2 linked regions of the Rhinolophus ferrumequinum genome follow. The protein of the gene in region 1 binds, or shares a complex with, the protein of each later gene. Links are inferred from orthologs where the notes say so. Each region holds a gene or a part of one and is shown on either strand. Other genes may lie near its edges. The genes, in order: tubulin alpha-1B chain and MATCAP1.

Region 1 (9,466 bases):
TCGTTACTCTTTATTATAATAGTAGTTGCCCCTTATCTGTGGGGAATACATTCCAAGACCCCTAGTGGATACCCGAAATCGCAGACAATACCAAACTCTATATATACTATATTTTTGTTTATACATACATACAAATCTATGATTTATAAATTAGGCATTAAGAGATCAACAGCAATAGTTAATGATAAAGTAGAACAATTATAACAATATACTACTGTAATAAAAGTTATGTGAAAGTGGTCTCTCTCAAAATATCTTATTGTGCTGTACTCACTCTTCTTCGGTGATGTGTTGACAGTGGATAACTGAATCTGCAGAAAGCGAAACCGCAGATAAGGAAGACTGCTGTATTAATTTTAAATATTTATCAAAGAATACATGTTCTACTTAAATGTCTAACACACCGCATCTCAAACTTAACATGTCCAAAATTGAACTTTTGATTTCTTCCATTTCCATAGACCTGTTCTTCCTTCAGTATTCCCGTGTTGCTCAGGCCAAAAACCTTGGGGTCATGATTGACTCCTGTCTTTCTCACCTTACATCCAATGAATTAATAAACCCTGTCACCACTACCTTCAAAATATATCCAGAAACCCACCACTTTTTACCACCTCCACCACTGGTCCACCCTGGTCCAAGCAACTATTACCTCTTATCTACATTACTGCAATTCTCTTCCAACTCATATCCAACTCAGTAGTCTTATCTATTACCATTGTTTAATTATCATTAAATCTCAAAGAATCTGAAATCTGTATCTCTTCTCCTCTCTCCACATCTGCATATATAACTGACTAATGGACATCTCTGGATATACCAGGGGTGCCAAAAAAATGTATACACATGACTTGTATTCATTTTATTATCAGTACCGTGTTTCCCAAAAAATATGACCTAGCCAGACAATCAGCTCTAATGTGTCTTTTTTTTTTTTTTTTTTTTTTTTAAAGATTTTATTGGGGAAGGGAAACAGGACTTTATTGGGGAACAGTGTGTGCTTCCAGGACTTTTTTCCAAGTCAAGTTGTCCTTTCAGTCTTAGCTGTGGAGGGCACAGCTCAGCTCCAGGTCCAGATGCTGTTGCTAGTTACAGGGGGCGCAGCCCACCATCCCTTGCCAGAGTCAAACCAGCAACCTTGTGGTTGAGAACCCACTGGCCCATGTGGGAATCGAATAGGCAGCCTTCGGAGTTAGGAGCACGGAGCTCCAACTGCCTGAGCCACTGGGCTGGCCCCTCTACTGCGTCTTTTGGAGCAAAAATTAATATAAGATCCAGTCTTATATTAATTGTTATATTAATTTTTGCTCCAAAAGACGCATTAGAGCTGATTGTTCGGCTAGGTCTTATTTTTAGAGAAACACGGTATATATTGAATATTACAATTTTAATACAGTTTTTTCCTTTCTTAAAATGTGTACATTTTTTTGGTACCCTCTGTATGTACCACAGACACTTAAACTCAAAGTGTGTCAAAAGCTGAACTATTAGCTTCTCCCGTTTCCTTTCTTCAGTTCCCATCCATTTCTTCCTTCAGTATTCTGATCTCAGTAAAAAACACCACCATTTGATCAGTTATTTAAACCAAAAACCTGAAAATTAACCCCCATTCTTCAGTTTCCCTCACACCCCATGTCCAATCAATCACCAAGTTCAACATTCGACAACAAATTACATATTAAGCACCTACTATGTAATAATAAATCTGGAGATAGGTGGTTTTAAGATTCGCTCAGCAGTTTCACAGTGTCATAGCACTAAGTTGGCATTTCTTTTATTCTCTTTACACTAAGACCCTCAAGGTCTTAAGTTGGTTCCAGGCGTCATATCTTCACAGAACATTTCCAAAAGCAAGGAAGAGGAGTGAAATAAAAGGACTTTATACAAGGGTTCACTCTTTTGATCAGGGAGGAAAACCATCCCCAGAAACACCCTAGCAGACTTCCCTTTATGTGACACTGGCCACAAGTGGGTCCAATGATGAAGGAGAATGAGAAAGCAAGTACCTGGCAAAGGGAAACAGGGTTTCCTGGATTTGTCCCCTGAGATTGAGCACATGACTACCCCTTTAAAAAAAAAAAAAAGGCTCTCTTGGCAAAGAAGAATGTAAGAAGGTGGTTTTGGAGGGGCAATTAAGACTGACTTCCACAAAAACAGAATGGAGCTTCATTCTAATTAGGAGAGAATATTAAATAAGTAAATAAATACACAAACAAGGTAATTTCAGATTCTATAAACGCTATGAAATAAGGTGATGTGATAAAAAAAAGTGATGGGCATAGTTTAAAGATAAAACTGATAGAATTTACTAATGGGATTGAATGTGACAGTATGAGAAAAAGATGATTCCAAGCTAATATTGATTCCCATTCATAAAGGAAGCTCAAAAAAGATAATTAGGAGCCTAAAATCATACTGACAAATCATTAACTGACATATCATTAACTGACACAGCTAGAACTGAATCTAGTACTGTCTCAAATCAAAGCCCATTTTCTTTCCCCTATACCATCTATCTGTGGAATAACAGAACACAAAATAGCATATATAAATTTATGATACTGTGATAAAAATAAAAGGCTAAATGTTTGAAAATAGTTGATGCTTGGTAAGTTGTTGCTAATTGTTATTTGTGTCTTTCCTTGTAGAATTGGCTAAATGAACAAAATATTTTGTAAACTTTTGTGTCTAAACCACAATATGGACTGATCAAAAATGTTACTGACTGCTTAGAACAGTAGCAAATGGCCAGATATTAAGTAGCAAAGATGGGAGGGGCTCAAATGGCCACACAGGGTCTCCCAATACATCAAAAGACTCAAAGCAAATAGTTACAGGCCCTGAAACAGTCCAGCAAAAGAAAGACCTATATAATCAGTTAAAATGTTAAGACGTTGTGTAATACTGCATTTATATTCTAGCAATAGATAACTAATATTTAATATAGACAAATATAGACAAAGTGATATATCCGTATGTAACATAAACAAATAGACCCATGAAAGTTTAGTACGGGTAAAAAGGAAAAAAATGTCAGCCTTTTCTCTCCAGTACTAAAAAGGTAGTAAAATTAGTTAACTTACCTAGCATTATTCAACATTTTTCTGGCATAAAGATACCAGACTATATTTAAAGGTCCCTTTGGCTCTGTTACTCTCTGAAATCTGAAGTAACATCAGGGACCTACCAAAAAAAAAAAAAAAAACCCTCACTTGCTTCCGCATTCACAACAGAGGAATTCACAGATAACAAGGCTAGCAAAAGCTAATGGTTTTAGGAGGGTATCTGGGGAGACATATAGGCCCTCAGGAGCAAATCTCTGCAGTGAAAGCGCTAAGGTCCTGCAGAGGGCTAGGAGGAGGGAGGTGCCTGCTTCCAAATGGCTTTCATCCAGAGCAGTCAGCAAAATGGAGTTCAACTGGGTGGTTCCCTAACATTCATTCTTCCCGTTAAGGCAAGCTAATGACAAGCATTCCTTAGAGATACTGCAGTATCTCTTCTTGCCAGTGAAGAGTACTGCCTTTAATTTGTTAAAAAAATGCAGTATCTGTAAAGCACAATAAAGCAAAGCACAATAAAATGTATGCTTGTATTTCCATCTCCTTTTAAGAATGAGAGAAATAATTTTTAAAAACTAATACGTGAGACAACCTGAAACTAATAGGATATTGTATGTCAAGAATAAGTGAGACATTATTCAAATATATTGCTGTCCCCTATAACCCAGTTTGGGAAATGTGTGCAAATTTGGGTTCTGAGTCAAAAACCTTTTAACAGGACTACAAAAAAAAAATATTTATTAGAAATAAATAAGACCCTCCTTGTTTGCATTCAAGGTTCATATGAATCTGAGTGGAGAAAAAAAATTTATACACACACACACATTCTTACAAACCACACACACATATTAACAGTGTAAATTTATTTCTCTGATATGAAGAATGAAGACTTTACCAAATCTGAATATGAAGTATGAAATTTTATTCTTATGTTTACCTTTTTTGTTACTAACACACTATCACGGGGGGGGGGGGCATTTTGAATAGTTAAAAACAGTAATAAGTTTCTGTTAGAGCCACACTTTAACCTTAAACTAACCTCCTTATGTATTTCCAAGGGTTAGAAATGTAGTTTATGGTCTTGGAATAAATTTTCCTGAAAGGGGAGGGAAAAAAGTCTCTTCACTATAATCTGGGCCTCCTAGCAATAAGTTATAACCAACTGATCTATTTTAACATAACAGAAAGTAATTATTAAATAAAGTTTTACAAAACCCAAGGAACCCCTACTTCCTAATATCTTTCTGTGTCAATTTCATTATTAGCCAAGTTTCTGTCTTCACTTCTACAATTCTGCTACCAAATTTGAAATGTGTCTTTAAATCTCCTTTTTAAAAGCCCCCTAGGGTTGTACCATAAAGGCGGTGGTTGAGGTCTAAAAATGGGGCTCCTTTAACAGTTTGGATGTTCAGTGCTTAGTTAATACTCTTTTTATGACTGTTTTTTGCTTCCAACGTTTGGTAACTTTAATTCAAAGAACAAGTCATTACAGTAAACCAAATAAAACTATCCTGTTTTCTAAACCCCGCATCCTCCGCATTATCATGGAAGAACAGAACGCACTGCCTTTAAAGGAGCTGAGAAAAGGAAAAGGCAAAACTCACTGACAAATTGTGCCAGCATGAAAATAATCAGCTGAGCTATCCGGACCACACGTTTCTGCATTTCATCGTGCTTCCTATTTAAAATTGTATAGACTCCTTAAGTCATAGGTTTCGTCCAAACTAAGCCTCCTCTCCCATTCCCAGGATGGTTTGTTTCCGAACGCGCCCCCATCCCACCCCACCCCACCCCACCCCACCCCTCCCCTCCGAGGCCCCAGCAGCCATGCGCCGCAGACTGCAGCACCAGAGCTCGCGGCCCGCAGGCGCGGAGGCCCCCGCCCCTCAGGGCCGGCACGGGGAGGGGACCCCCGCTTTGGAGCCCGCCTCTGCGGCGGCGGAGCCCGGCACCGAATGGGCGCGCTGGGCCGGGGGTGGGGCCAGTGGCCTTGGCACCGCCTGTGCCTGTCCGCCCCACCCCGGACCGCTACTTAAGTAGCTCGGGCACCTCCCCCGCCTCAGTGCGTTACTTACCTCGACTCTTAGCTTGTCGGGGACAGTAACCGGTATCCGGTGTCTACTCCTGTTACCTGCGCCTGCTAACCCGTAGACATGGTGAGTGGGCCGCGCGCGGCGTCGCCGTCGCTCGGGAAGTCGGGGAAAAGCAAGCCAAGGGATCTCGGAGGTCCTTTAACTATAGAGAACTGGGACCAGCGCTGTCCATTTGGAAGGCAAAAAGCAAGGGGAGAGGCGAGGGTGGGAGTAGATCGAGCCCGTTTTGTGGAGAACGGCGGAAGGAGGTGGATCGCCACCTTTTCTTGGACTCTGGGAGGGGATTGCGGGGCGCTGGCTCCCTCCACCGTGGTTAGGGCTCTTATTTAGCCCTTAACTCGAGGGCGCAGCGACCCAACCCTGCAGTCTTCCCGCGCGTTCTCATCCCCTTTTTCTTACCCCCCCCACCCCCGCCTTAGGCGGTCGCGCGCGCGGGCTCTCCCCGCCCTCACTTCCTCCTGGGCGCGAAAAGCGGAGGCGGGAAGGAGCCTGACACAAAAGCGCACGCGCAACAGTTACCGTCCCGCCGGGGAGTGGCGGGAGGCCGCCACTGCAATCTGCGCGTGCGCGCTGCGGCGCTGCGGGTCTATAGCTGGAGGGCGTGTCTCCTCTTACCCTGAGTTTTCGTTTTTTAAAATGAAAGCAATAAGATAAATGTAGAGAAAGGCTCTTTCTCTGTGTGCTGCACTATGCCAGTATATTGGGACAGTTAGCTCCCAACAGCCCGTAGAGGCCATCTGCCTGCCCCTCGATGGCCTCTTTGCTGCGTTAGGAATGTGTGTGTGGGAACAGGTGGTGGCGATGAGGGATTTTTGAGAGAATGTAAATCCGATCATGGTCCACATCTGGACCGAAGATAATCCCTTGCTGTGTGTCTTGACAGATGTGGAGGTGCTGGGCTGAGCCCAACGCCTGGGGGAAGCTGAGGATGGTTGGCCTTCGCTGGCTGACGTGGCTGTTTCGTGCCTCTTCAACTGCGCGGCTCCGCTGGCCTGCTGGCCTCAGGGTTGGAGCGCGCACCCTGAATTGCTCATTCATCCTGTGCCGCAGAGCCCCTCCCCTCGTCACTGGGGCCAGACATTTCCTCTGCACTGCTCTGGCCACGTGCTTCCTGTGCTGGAACCTGCCCGGAAATCTGGCCACCTAGTCCAAAATGGGATTTTGCGGCCTAAGCGCGAGATGGATGGCCTCTCTATCTTGGTCCTTCAAAGAAAGAAGCTGTGACTAAGGTCTCTTCTTGGTTTCGGAAGAGGCCTTCCCAATTTAGATGAGGAAAAGAAATTCATTAAAAGCAAAGTACAGTGGTTCTCCTTTAGGAAAAAAGTTACATTTTAATTCATTTTAAAAAAGAACATTTGTAAGGTTAAGATTCCATGAGTATTTTGTTCTGCTTTATAGTCACTGCTAGATTTGTTTAATCCTGATTTTTTTTCTCTTTTTTCCACAGCGTGAGTGCATCTCCATCCACGTTGGCCAGGCTGGTGTCCAGATCGGCAATGCCTGCTGGGAGCTCTACTGCCTGGAACATGGCATCCAGCCCGATGGCCAGATGCCAAGTGACAAGACCATTGGAGGAGGAGATGACTCCTTCAACACCTTCTTCAGTGAGACAGGCGCTGGCAAGCACGTGCCCAGGGCAGTGTTTGTAGACCTGGAACCCACGGTCATTGGTGAGTTGACCTCCGTAACCCAAGTGAGATCCCAGGGGTCTGGGACAGGATGTGTGTCCTGGGGGCTCTGTGGATGCCCTGGGGTTGGGCAGCTTGTGCGGGTTGTTAGTGATGGGTGGCCGCTTTGTTTCCCTTTCCCAGATGAAGTTCGCACTGGCACCTACCGCCAGCTCTTCCACCCCGAGCAGCTCATCACAGGCAAGGAAGATGCTGCCAATAACTACGCGCGGGGGCACTACACCATTGGCAAGGAGATCATTGACCTCGTCTTGGACCGGATTCGGAAGCTGGTGAGTACCAGTTTGAAATATACTTCAAATGGGGTGAGGTGATTCATTGCAAGTTTAGTGAAGAGACCAAACTATAGCATTCCTTCTTTGGTGCATGCCCAAATGTGAGATACACTGCTCACTGTATTAATTGAAAAGTATCCGATGTTGAAGAATTACGTTTTCTTTTTACTTCCTTCACAGGCCGACCAGTGCACAGGTCTTCAGGGCTTCCTGGTTTTCCACAGCTTTGGTGGGGGAACTGGTTCTGGGTTCACCTCCCTGCTGATGGAACGTCTCTCTGTCGATTATGGCAAGAAATCCAAGCTGGAGTTCTCCATTTACCCAGCCCCCCAGGTTTCCACAGCCGTAGTTGAGCCCTACAACTCCATCCTCACCACCCACACCACCCTGGAGCACTCTGATTGTGCCTTCATGGTTGACAATGAGGCCATCTATGACATCTGTCGTAGAAACCTCGATATTGAGCGCCCAACCTACACTAACCTTAACCGCCTTATTAGCCAGATTGTGTCCTCCATCACTGCTTCCCTCAGATTTGATGGAGCCCTGAATGTTGACCTGACTGAATTCCAGACCAACCTGGTGCCCTATCCCCGCATCCACTTCCCTCTGGCCACATATGCCCCTGTCATCTCTGCTGAGAAAGCCTACCACGAGCAACTTTCTGTAGCAGAGATCACCAATGCGTGCTTTGAGCCAGCCAACCAGATGGTGAAATGTGACCCTCGCCACGGTAAATACATGGCTTGCTGCCTGTTGTACCGTGGTGACGTGGTTCCCAAAGATGTCAATGCCGCCATTGCCACCATCAAGACCAAGCGCAGCATCCAGTTTGTGGACTGGTGTCCCACTGGCTTCAAAGTTGGCATTAATTACCAGCCTCCCACTGTGGTACCTGGTGGAGACCTGGCCAAAGTACAGCGAGCTGTGTGCATGCTGAGCAACACCACAGCTATCGCTGAGGCCTGGGCCCGCCTGGACCACAAGTTTGACCTGATGTATGCCAAGCGTGCCTTTGTTCACTGGTATGTGGGTGAGGGTATGGAGGAAGGAGAGTTTTCTGAGGCCCGTGAGGACATGGCTGCCCTTGAGAAGGATTATGAGGAGGTTGGTGTGGATTCTGTTGAAGGAGAGGGTGAGGAAGAAGGAGAGGAATACTAGTTACCATTCCTTGCATCCCTGCAACATGTCATACTCGGAACTTTAGCTTCAAACTGACAGGCGTTAAAGCTTTCTCAATAGATTGTCTGCTTTTACCTGTGATCATGTGTGTCTTTTTAATGTGTATCTACAAGATTTTTTCCCTCATGTCTCGAAGTAAAGGCATTGAGAAAAAAAGTGACTTTGTACTTTTTCTAAATTGACTTCTCTACACTTGGAGGATAAGAGACTATAACAGGGTGTTCAGCAAGGATCCCACTTCTGTTCAGCTACTTCTGGAGAACAAGGGAGCACACACTCATCTCTAAAAGCAGGAGAGCTGGATTCTGACACATCTGTTAATGTCGACTCTGTCAGTGTTAGAATCCAGGTCATAGGGGACTTGGGAAAATGATGTACTGAAAGTGGTTCTGCTAATCTAGGTCTTTAGGTTATTGGGTAGTTAATTAGGAATAAGGACAGGCATAGCTTGTTTTATTGCACTTCACAGATGTGTTTTTTACATATTGAAAGCAAGACTCCACTACCAAAAGATTACAACTTTATTGGAATACTCTATTGTATTCTAGAACCAGATGCCCAGTATCTCCACGGTACGCCTGTAAGTCGATTTGACTCTCTTGCAAACATGACTGTCAAAAAGCCATGTGCATTTGTGGAAGAATACTGCTTTTACAAGGGGATAAAGTGAACATTGTAAAGGTTAAGATGAAAGTATATAGCACTTGGCATAGCTTACCTTCTTTCAAGTATGTAGTTTGGCTATATCTAAAAGAATGTAGAGAGAGACAAATGGGTTTAACTTATGGGAAAATACATTTCCAATTCAGAAAGCATTAAGGATAGTTAAGGTTTGTTGAACATATTGATGTCTTGTGGTTTAAAAGTAGGGAAGAGCAAAATTTTCCCAGGTTTTCTCCTAGCCCATAAATACTATACACAGAGGGTGCCAAAAAAATTATATACACATTTTTAAGAAAGGAAAGAATTATACTGATAAAAGATGAATGCAAGTCCATGTTTGACTTATGTAATTACAAGAGGTGCTCAAAGTGGTCACCATCAGCGTCCAGACACTTCTGATTACAGCAAACTGCTTGAGCAATGTTGACCAAAGTGTCCACTTGTGTACATTTGTTTGGCACTCCTGGTATTTACAAAACAGTTCTTGGCTCCTGAAAGGAAATCGC
Region 2 (9,945 bases), on another chromosome or scaffold:
GCAGCCTGTGATCTCTCACTCTTCTGTAGAGGTGCACACCCTCCTCTGAGGGGCCCATCAACACAGTTTTCATGTTGTGACATTGTTGTCTGCGTCCATGTTGCACAACCCCCTCTGCACCCCAGGTTGAGGCCATCTGCTTCGCGTCTGTGTCCTGAGCACTAAGAGGTCCTGGGTGGACTCCCCGCCCCCCAAGGAAGTGGCGCCCTGCCCTCCCCACCCCATCCCACAGTGCAGATGCTCTTTCCTGTTGGGAATAAAATGCCAGAGTTTCAGTTTCCTTCCTTTCTCTACGTGGCCTTGGGGCGGGAGGGAGCTTGGAGGGAGGAAGGGGCGCCTGGGCAGGGAGGTAGGACACAGGCTTCCTTGGGAAGAGGAATTCTGCTGTGTGCTGAGGTGTGGGCCAGGGCCACCCAGGCCCTCTGAGCTAGTGGAGGGAGTGTCCAGCTCTGCTGTGAGGGCAGCGGGGAGAGGGCCATCTCAAGGCCAAGGCTGTGTGAGGAGGGCGGAGGACTGGATGCCTGGTTGGGCCTGGTGAGTTCCATACCAGACTGTCCTCTGCCACTCAGCAGGGGAGGTCTGTGCCTACCCTGCCTCACTTGGCATCTGCACAGGGCAAAACTAAGAAACCCAGCAGGGGAAGGCTTCCCGGGTATCTGTCCGTCATACCACCTCCCTTGCATTTCTGGAGGGGGCTGGACAAGAACCTCCCTCTTCCTCCTTGGAGGGGCCTAGGGAGAACCTGCATCTCAAAGGAGCATCCACTCTGCCTGCTCTAACCCACATTCTTGCCCCGACTCCCACCTCAGCTCCAGCTCCTGCGGGGCCTGCCATGGACTCAACAACCAAGAACGAAATGCAGCCTGCACTTCTCCCTGGTATGAGACCTTCCGGGTGGGTTGGGAGAGGGATGTGGCAAGAAAGAGGGGAATGGTGGGGTTGGGTCCTTGCCAAGTCTGGCTGGAGCTCTATGGGTCAGTGAGATGAGTGGACCACCCTGGGGGCCAGACTAAAGAGCAGGAAGGGGAGCAGGTTCGGCAGCTGCTTCCTTCAGGCCCTGCCCAACTGACATGGCTGCCCAGGCTCTTCCTGCCCAGGGCCTGAGTGGCCGGAGCAGGAGAGGGCGGAGCGGCTAGCCCGGGGTGCAGCACTCAAGTGGGCCTCAGGCATTTTCTACCGGCCGGAGCAGCTGGCCAGATTGGGCCAGTACCGCAGCCGTGAGGTGCAGCGTACCTGCTCCCTGGAAGCACGCATGAAGGTGGGCATCAGGCAGGGGGCAAGAGTGCTGGGGGTGGGCGGCAGGGCTGGCCAGGCCTCATTGGCTGCCTCCCTCCCACAGTCAGTGGTGCAGTCATACCTGGAGGGTGTGAAGACTGGTGTGTGGCAGCTGGCCCAGGGCCTTGAGGCCATGCAGGAAGCCCGTGAGGCCCTGGGCCAGGCCCATGGGTTGCTCCGGGGCATGGTCGAGACTGTACAGGCACTAGAGCCCCTGCGGGAGCAGGTCAGCCAGCACAAACAACTGCAGGCCCTGTCTCAGCTGCTGCCCCGGCTGCAGGCAGGTGAGTATGCAGGGGCCCTGGGCCTCAACCATCCAATAGTCAGTCAACACCCATCAAGGGGCTGGGACACTAGTGGGAGATTGCGTGGCGGGCCACACCAGGAACCTCCCAGAAAGTAACTCAGGCTTCAGATGGCATATGAAGCAGGGTGCAAATTAGCTCATTCTGGTGTTCCTGAGCATGGGATGTCTGAGTCAGAAAGGACACCCAGTCAAGTGGCTCTGGCCATCCTTGTTGTTAAATTGAAATATTTCCCTAACAGAGTGGGTGAATAGCCATTAGAATGATCCTCCAGTTCTTCTCTGCCTTCTTTCCAGGATCCCTGACTTCCTCATGTTCCTTTAGCTCAAGGGTTTACCCCTGGCCCACCAGGCCTCTAGGACCTTCCGTGGATCCTTTCAGATTGGCTAATGCTCTACTATACTGGTTATTAAATATTTTACACATGATCCCAGCCCCAGGACCTCCGCATCTGATCCTGTATCCATTGCACAGGTGGGAAGGCTGAGACCCAGGGCGGTCTCCTCTTTTCCCTCCTTAGTGCCAGCTGCAGTGGCCCACACACAGTCCTTGATTGATGCCCAACGGCTCTTGGAGGCATATGTGAGCCTTCGGGAGCTTGAGCAGCTGCAAGAGGAGACATGGGCATCTCTGGGGCACCTGGAGTTGCCAATCTTCGAGGGGTTGGGCCCTCTGTCGGAGGCACTGGGCCAGGCTGTGGAGGCGGCTGTAGGGGCCGCAGGACAGCTGGCACGGGAGGACCCAGCCCTGCTGGTGGCTGCTGTGCGTGTGGCGGAGGTGGAGACGGGCCGCACAACCTCCCTGGAGCAAGCCCCCCGGGACTGGCGGCAGCGCTGTCTGCGGGCACTACAGGAGGGCCTGGAGCAGGTCCACTTTGGGACACATCTGCTGCCTGGGCCAGGGGCCCTAGCAGGGTGGCTGGAGGCTCTGCGGGTGGCTCTACCAGCCGAGTTGGCCAGAGCTGAGGCACTAATAGCACCCTGCTGCCCACCGCACTACAGGGTGGTCCAGCTATGGGCCCACACCCTGCATAGTGGCCTGCGCCGCTGCCTACAGCAATTCCTGGAAGGGCCTGAGCTGGGAGCTGCTGATGCCTTCACCTTACTGCACTGGGCACTACATGTGTACCTGGGGTCAGTGCGCTTTGGGCAATGGGAAGTGGGTGGATCGGAAGCTGCAGGCTCAGTGTGACACTGGCCACCTATCACCAGGCCAGAAATGATGGGGAGCCTGGACTTGGGGCCTGAGGCTGACGTGTCTCAGCTGGAGCCCCTCCTGACCCTGGAGAATATTGAGCAGCTTGAGGCAACATTTGTGTCCAAAGTCCAGGTGAGTAGTTGGGGCCCAGGTCCAGAGAAGCTCTGCTACCAGTTGTGTGCCTGTATTTGCAAAGTCACATGTCTAACTGTCTCTAGCAGGGTCAGTGCCCTGCTATATCCTGCTGCCCCTCATCCCTTCCCCCAGGCAAATGTGGTGCAGTGGCTGCAGAAAGCACTGGATGGGGAAGTAGCTGAGTGGGGCCGGGAGCAGGAGCCTGACACAGACCCATCTGGCTTTTACCACTCACCAATGCCAGCCATCGTGCTTCAGGTGAGTGGGAAGTGGCGGGCAGGTGGGCAGCTCCCATAGGGAAAGGGGAGGAGGGCAGGACTAGGACTCTGCTAATGGCTGCCCATTCCTGCCTGTAGATCCTGGAAGAGAACATTCGAGTAAGCAGCCTGGTCAGTGAGTCACTGCAGCGGCGGGTGCATGGCATGGCACTGTCAGAACTGGGAGCATTCCTGAGAAGGTCTGCCAAGGCACTGATCCATTCCCAACACCTGGTCTTGCTCCTGGGGCAGCCCAAAGGGGCTCCGAGTGAATAAGGCCCGCCAGTGGGAAAAGGCTCCTTCAAACAGGGCCTTGAGTATCTTGGAGGTGGGGCTAGAGTACCCGGAACAGAGGTTGTTGGGGCGCCAGAATGACAGCAGGTACAAAAGCCACCTCTGCCCTTTGCAGCTTCAGTGATGCCCTGATTCGATTCTCCCGAGACCACCTCAGAGGGGAAGCAATGGCCCCTCATTACGTGTCCTACCTACTGGCTGCCCTCAACCACCAATCAGCACTCAGGTACCAGAAGTCTCCCACAGAATGCCACCTTCACTAACCCCTGACTGAATATCTATTAGGTACCTATCCAGCCACACTGGGCCATTAGGAACTTTGGACTCACATAGCTCTGGGGTTCCAATCCCAGTTCTACTAATTACTAGCTGTGTGACGTTGGGCGAGTTACCAAATCTCTCTGAATGTCACTTTTCTTATTAGTATTATATTATATTATATTATATTATATTATATTATATTATATTATATTATATGGGTAAGAATCACATGCAATAACAGATGTAAAGTACCTACCACAATACAATGCCTGGCACATAGTCTCAAGCATTCATTTATTAACATATTAACATATACTTACCAGCTCCTACTCTGTGCCAGATAATGTCTGGGGTTACAGCAGTGAACAAAACAGAAAAAAAATCCCTTCCTCGTGGGTCTTACGTTCTTTGGGATGGGGGCAGAGAGAGCAGACAAACAAGTTGCTAATTTTTACTCCCTCCTGACTGGGATAAACTCTCTCCCCTTACGGAGGAGTCAACAGAAACTGAAAGACATGACTTGCTCAAGGTCACACCACGAATTAGAGGCTGGGCCGTCTGGGTTGTGTCCCTGCCAGCTCACTGAGCCTACCACTCCATGCTTTAGTCGACACCCCAGACCTTCAGAAAGCGCGGGGAACCGCCCTTCTTGCCCCCTCCCTCCACAAACTTGCGCCACTAGGTGGCGCCCGAGCGGCTGGACAACGAAGGTCCGTTAGGGCCTTGGCCTTGGTCCTGAAGCCGTACTTTTGGTTGGTCCAGCTCCTCCGTGTCGGTCTTGCAGCCCGACGGGGTGGCTTTAGGAGCCTTGGCTCCGGTGGAGGCAGCGCTGGAGGAGTTGCAGAGGAGGATATGTCGCCTGGTGTTGGAGGCACTGCTGGTGGAGCTACAGGTGAGGTTCCAGGTGGGGTGGGAGGAGATACAGCGTATGTACGGAGGTCTCTACGTGGAATACGGGATCTGCATCGGCCTTCCAGTCCCGCCTCTGTCCCCATCCCCTAGCCCCTGTTCATGGCTCTGCCCTCGCGCCAATGGCTGTCGAGCCCGGAGCTGCTGGATGATGTGTGCGAGAGGACGGCGCGCTTCTGCCGGGATTTTTGGCGTGTGCGGAATCCCGCTGTCCAGGTGCGACTTGGGGTAAGGAGGGTGAGGGGGGAGATCCAATGGGAAAGGGGTCCAGGACCCACCTGATTGCCCTCCCCGCAGCTGCTGCTGGCCGAGGCTGAGCGTACCGTGGTGCTGCAGTACCTGTGTGCGCTAATGCAGGGCCGCCTGGTGTGCCGTGGTGCCGATGAGCGGAACCAGGCTGCCGAGCGCCTGCAGCACGATGCCATGCAGCTCCGAGATCTCTTCCTCGATTTGGTGAGAGCTTGTTGGGCGAACAGATGGGTGGGAATCTCTGTGGTTGGGTGGGAATCTCAGTGGTTGGGTCGGAGCCGAGGGCCCGCACGAGACCTACCCCGACGTGTTCAGGGCCTGGAGGAAAGCTTTCAATGTGCGCCGGTGCTACTCACTCTGCGAAAGCTGCTGAATCTCCGCGATCCCACGATGCTTGGCTTGGAGGTGGCAGGCCTGCGGCAACAATTTCCTGACGTGAGGTGCGAAGACGGGCGCGAGAGGGGAGGAGGGAACTGGGAGGGACGGGGAGGGGCTGGGCGGGCCTGACGCATCTCTGTGGTGCCCCGTAGTGAGGATCACGTCTCCGCCCTCTTGGACCTGCGCGGGGACGTGTCCCGAGAGCAGCGCCTAGCTGCACTCAGCTCCCTGCAGGCCGGCCCGCAGCCATCGCCTCCCGCGGGTCGCCGCGCTCTCTTCAGCCTCGTGCCAGCACCTACACCTGCTCCGTCCTCCTGCCTTCCTTCGGGGCCCTGTGCCTGACTCCCGACTGCCAGCAGAATAAAGCCACGGCCCCTGTACGCGTGAATTGTGTGTGCTGGGGAAGGGAGGAAGTTGAAATAAGTGTCCGTGAAGATTAGGGGGGGGTCCACACGCAGTGACACGCCTAAGGTATCCTGGCTTCAGTCCTGGTATACCCGCTGTACACCACCTATCCCAGCATCAGTGCCCGGGCTTCTGCCACCGTACGCAGACTATATCCCCACGTATCCGTCCCGGGGCAGTGAGTTCGTCTCCCTGGCCCTGATTCCGAGGCCGGGTACCAAATGAAGCCCTGAAACCAGCCTGGACCTCTTGAAGAGGGCGGGCTCAAGACAACGCCCAGCCCATGGACGTGACCTAGTGGCGGACACCGTCTCTCTGCCTTGCCTGGCCCCACCCCCTGCTGTGTTCTCGGGCGCGCGCCGCAGCGGAGATTGACGCGAATCCGCGCGCTGAGCGTGCGCGCGCCCGAGTGCGTGCGTCCCCGGCGAGAACTCCCGCGGGCCGGGAGGCCGGCGACCGGTGTTTCAGAGGGGGAACGGCGTCGGCGAAAAGAGCAGCGAACAGGTGGGGGTGCGGCACGGAACCCTTTCATCCCCTAGAGGCCGAAAAGGCGCGCGACGCGACCACGCCTTACCTACCAGGGAATTCCCCCTCCATTGTCCTCTGGCCCCGCCCTCCATTCGGCACGCCCTTTGCCTCATCCCCCTCTGTTTATTGGCTGTAGGTGACGCCCCTCTTCGATATACCCATCCCCATTGGCTCCTCTTTCACGTTATCCTCTCCCGGAGTTTCCTATTGGCGCAGGCCACACCCTCTTATTTGTCACCAGACTCCGCCTTCAGTCTGGGTTCCTCCCCCAGCCATCTTTCATTCATTCTGCATCTAGTGCTGGATGTTTGAGACGATGGGGTGAATCAGACCCGTCCCTGCCCTCAGGGAGTTCAGGAGATGGTGGGGGGGACACGGACCTAGGCTATGAAAATGACAGCCTTGGGCGGTATAGAGGCCGCCTAGGCACTGGGAGCCTCTAAGACGCCTGGAAGGCTTCCCGGAGGAGGTGAGGCCTAAACCAAGCCCTGAAAATGGTTAGGTTTGCTCCAGGGAGACATTGGGAGGGCATTCTTGGCAGAAGGACCTGAGACATGAAAGAAACAGGCGTAGTCTGATAATTATGAAGAGGTAGGTGAAAGAAAAGGAGGAAAGATGAAGGGGGCTGGTCCAGTTAGAGGCCAGGAGACCCTGGAGGAGTCCAGGAAAATGTGTAGTTAGTTGAGGGGAGTGCAGCCTGAGGCCTGAAATCTTTTCAGTCAGCTGGTCCCTAGGCGGGTAGAAGGAAGTGTGTGGGGGGGTCAGATCTGGATGGGGAAACAAAGTGCAAGGAAGGAATGATTCCAATTTTGAGAAGCAGAAGGGCTCTTGAGCAACTGCTTTGGGTCAGGTACTATTCTGGGTTCTGGAAACACAGTGAACACTCAAGGAAACAGCAGATAACTAACAAATATACTGTACTTCAGATGGTGACAACTGCTACAGAGAACAATACTGTGGGGAAGGGGAGATTGCGGTGTAGAGGAGAGAGGAGGTTTACTATTTTATAGAGAGTGTTTGTTGTTAGGGAGGCTTTTCTAATATTTGTGCAGAAATCAGAAGAAAGTGAGAGTGACTCCTGCAATTATATGGAGGGAAAACATTTCAGACAGAGGATGTGTTCAGTTTGACACGCCTGTTATACATTCCAGTAAAGATGTTGAATTGAGAACTGGCAACACTGGTCTGAAGTTTATGGAAGATGTCTGGGCTGATGATTTTAAAACCTTGAGAATGGATGAGATCACCCAAGGAGTGAGCATAAATGGAAAAGGGGAGAGAAGTTTCCATAGAAGTTTCCAGGTCCTGGGGCATTACAGTGTTAAGAGGTCAGGAAGACAGGGATGACCAGCAAGGAAGAGCAAGAACAAACAGCCAGTGAGGTAGGAGATTTGGGGAGCCAAGTGGATGAAGCGATTAACTGTGTCAAGTGCATGAAGATCATTGATGACCTTGGTCAGATCAGTTTCAATAGAGATGGGGCGGGGGGGAAAGCCTAACTGGAGTGAAATTTAAGAGAGAACAGGAAAGAAAGAAATGAACAATGAGCATAGATGACTCTTGACATGTGCTGCAGTAAGGAGCAGCTAGAGGGGGTGGTGCTATTGCTGGAGGAGTGTGGGGTCAAGGGAGGGTTTTGTTTTTGTTTTTTTTAAGAGAGAAATGACAGCATGTGTTTATGCTGATGGAAAGAATAAACTGCTGGAAAGAATCCAGCAGAGAGGAAGAGTTTGATGATGTAGGAGATATAGGGGAGAGGAGAAATGCTGGAATTGTGTCCCTGAGCAGGCAAGGGAGTTCAGAGCCTGGAGCCTTCAGTCAGTCTCTGGAGAGAGACTGGATTGGACTGAGCCCTGGTACAGAGTCAGGGATGAGTGCCCCGACCAACTAGGAAGATGCTTCTGATAGGAGACAGACCAGGGATTGGCTTGGATTTGCTGAAGTTTCCATCTGCCCCACAAAAGCTGATTCTAAATTGGATTTGAACAGATAGCCCAGTGGAGAGAAAGCATTCCAGCTGGAGGGACTAACATAAGCAAGGGGTATGCAGGCATTCAAACTGACTGGCGCCAAATGGTCTGGAGGAGGTGGATGGAACCAGGTGGGAGGGAAGGGGTAGAAATGAAAAATGCCATAGGTGGAAGGCAGGTAGAAGGTAGTGAGGCTCCCCTCACCCATCAACCCAGCAGCTGAGGCTATATTGTGCTAGCTTCCAACCCGGGTGAGTGCTGAACACAGTGATTAGAATCATGAGTATGGACTCAGGCCTTGCTATCAGGACCTCACAGGCTAAAGGGTATTCCTGGAACCACCATCTAGGTGCATGTATAAGATTCTTCCTCCTGCTTTTTCCCAGTCCAGCTTGCTTTGGTGAGCCTGCTGGAGGGAATGGACACTGGGGTGGGGTTGAGAGGGCAGGCACCCAGACTCCTGGGGACCCAGCAAGGGCAGTGTGGAGCACAGGGCCTGCTGGTCCTCAGGCCACACCCACTCATGCTGTCCTCCACATGCCCTTCTGTGTCCCCAGAAGACGACAGTGTGGGGAGTTGGAGTGACCAGGCTGGATGTGATCCCCAGGACAGAATGGTGCTGGACTCAGGGGCTCAGGTGTATGAGCAGGCACCCCCCAGCCCACCAGCCAGTCCCTCATCCTTGGGCCGTAGGCTGAAGCCCTCAGACCGAGATGGGACACCGCTGTACCCCTGGCCTCGGTCCCTGGCCTTGCCCCTGGCTCTGTCAGTCTCCTCAGCCCTGCAGCCCCGGCCTGAGCGGCAGTCCTTCCCAGAGCTGCGGTTGGGCCGCCGTGGCCACATGCGTCGCAGTGAGAGCACCTGCACCGTCAATAGTACTGGTCGGCGGGGGGGCAGCACCCAGGGTCGGGCCCTACCTGGACGAGGACGGGATCCAGGTGGGAGCACCCTGCGGTCTGCAGCCTCCCTGCCTCACATAGCTAAGACTCAAAAGGAGGTAGGCCGTGGTGCCAGCAGGAGCCCCTGCCTGTTGGTGGCCCTGCGGCCAACCAACATGGACCATGAGCGGAAAAAGTTCTTCCAGTCCCATTACACCTACAACCCACAGTTCGAGTACCAGGAGCCGATGCCTACAGCTGTGCTGGAGAAGTACTGTGAGGCCTCTGGACAGTTCATCCATCAGGTCAGTCAGCCTGCCCACCTTACCCTGGCCCTGACCACCCACGAGGCCTCGCCTGACCAGCCACTGCGGCCCTATGTGCAGGCAGTTGGCATCATTGAAGCTGTCCTGGAGAAGTTTGGCACCTACGAACACTTTGAGGCTGCTACCGGGGGCCAGCTACTGACCAAGTGCCAGATCTGGTCCATTGTGCGCAAATACATGCAGAAGGAGGGCTGCGTTGGGGAGGTGAGCTTGCCCTGCCTGCAAGGCCCCTCTTCTACACGCCCCAAACTAGACTGCCCAGTGGGTGGTGCCAGGCCCAGCTCCATACCTCGCCAGCTAATGACCCCTGGCAAGCCCCTGTCCCTACCCCAATAAGGTGGGAGCTGGCTCTGAGCAGAGATGGTAAAGGGTGGGTAGCCTGGCCAAGTGTCCAGCCTGGTGTCACTGTGGCATTAGTGGGTCCACCTGCACACTGGCCCAGGGTTGGTAGCCATGGCTCAGGACACTGCTGCTGTCTACAGGTTGTGGTGCAGCTGAGTGAAGACCTGCTGTCCCAGGCAGTGATGATGGTGGAGAATAGCCGACCAACACTGGCCATCAACCTGACTGGAGCCCGC

Evidence for each region.
Region 2: the proteins of tubulin alpha-1B chain (region 1) and MATCAP1 are in contact, whole or in part, in a cryo-EM structure (PDB 7Z6S), measured with the Homo sapiens proteins. The link is inferred for Rhinolophus ferrumequinum from reciprocal best matches to the Homo sapiens genes TUBA1B and MATCAP1. Residues at the interface, in NP_006073.2 of Homo sapiens: Asp345, Trp346, Arg422, Glu423, Ala426, Ala427, Glu429, Lys430, Asp431, Glu433, Glu434, Val435, Gly436, Val437, Asp438, Ser439, Val440, Glu441; in NP_001035805.1 of Homo sapiens: Lys219, Cys220, Trp223, Val226, Arg227, Gly237, Glu238, Val239, Val240, Val241, Gln242, Leu243, Met253, Met254, Val255, Glu256, Asn257, Ser258, Arg259, Pro260, Thr261.

What each region holds. Positions count from the first base shown.
Region 1 is NC_046293.1:50,175,973-50,185,438, reverse strand, and holds tubulin alpha-1B chain, read left to right. Parts: upstream 1-5,066; 5' UTR 5,067-5,212; coding exon 5,213-5,215; intron 5,216-6,599; coding exon 6,600-6,822; intron 6,823-6,963; coding exon 6,964-7,112; intron 7,113-7,295; coding exon 7,296-8,276; 3' UTR 8,277-8,359; downstream 8,360-9,466. UniProt on the Homo sapiens protein: Tubulin is the major constituent of microtubules, protein filaments consisting of alpha- and beta-tubulin heterodimers. Microtubules grow by the addition of GTP-tubulin dimers to the microtubule end, where a stabilizing cap forms.
Region 2 is NC_046298.1:16,915,515-16,925,459, reverse strand, and holds the start of MATCAP1 (microtubule-associated tyrosine carboxypeptidase 1), read left to right. Parts: upstream 1-5,791; 5' UTR 5,792-6,169; intron 6,170-6,251; exon of another isoform or gene 6,252-6,784; intron 6,785-8,720; exon of another isoform or gene 8,721-8,723; 5' UTR 8,724-8,776; coding exon 8,777-9,346; intron 9,347-9,427; coding exon 9,428-9,571; intron 9,572-9,849; coding exon 9,850-9,945. Other genes in the region: EXOC3L1 (exocyst complex component 3-like protein), read left to right, coding at 833-878, 1,083-1,258, 1,340-1,559, 2,101-2,713, 2,792-2,909, 3,045-3,170, 3,269-3,369, 3,579-3,689 and 5 more. UniProt on the Homo sapiens protein: Tyrosine carboxypeptidase that removes the C-terminal tyrosine residue of alpha-tubulin, thereby regulating microtubule dynamics and function. Also able to remove the C-terminal phenylalanine residue of alpha-tubulin TUBA8.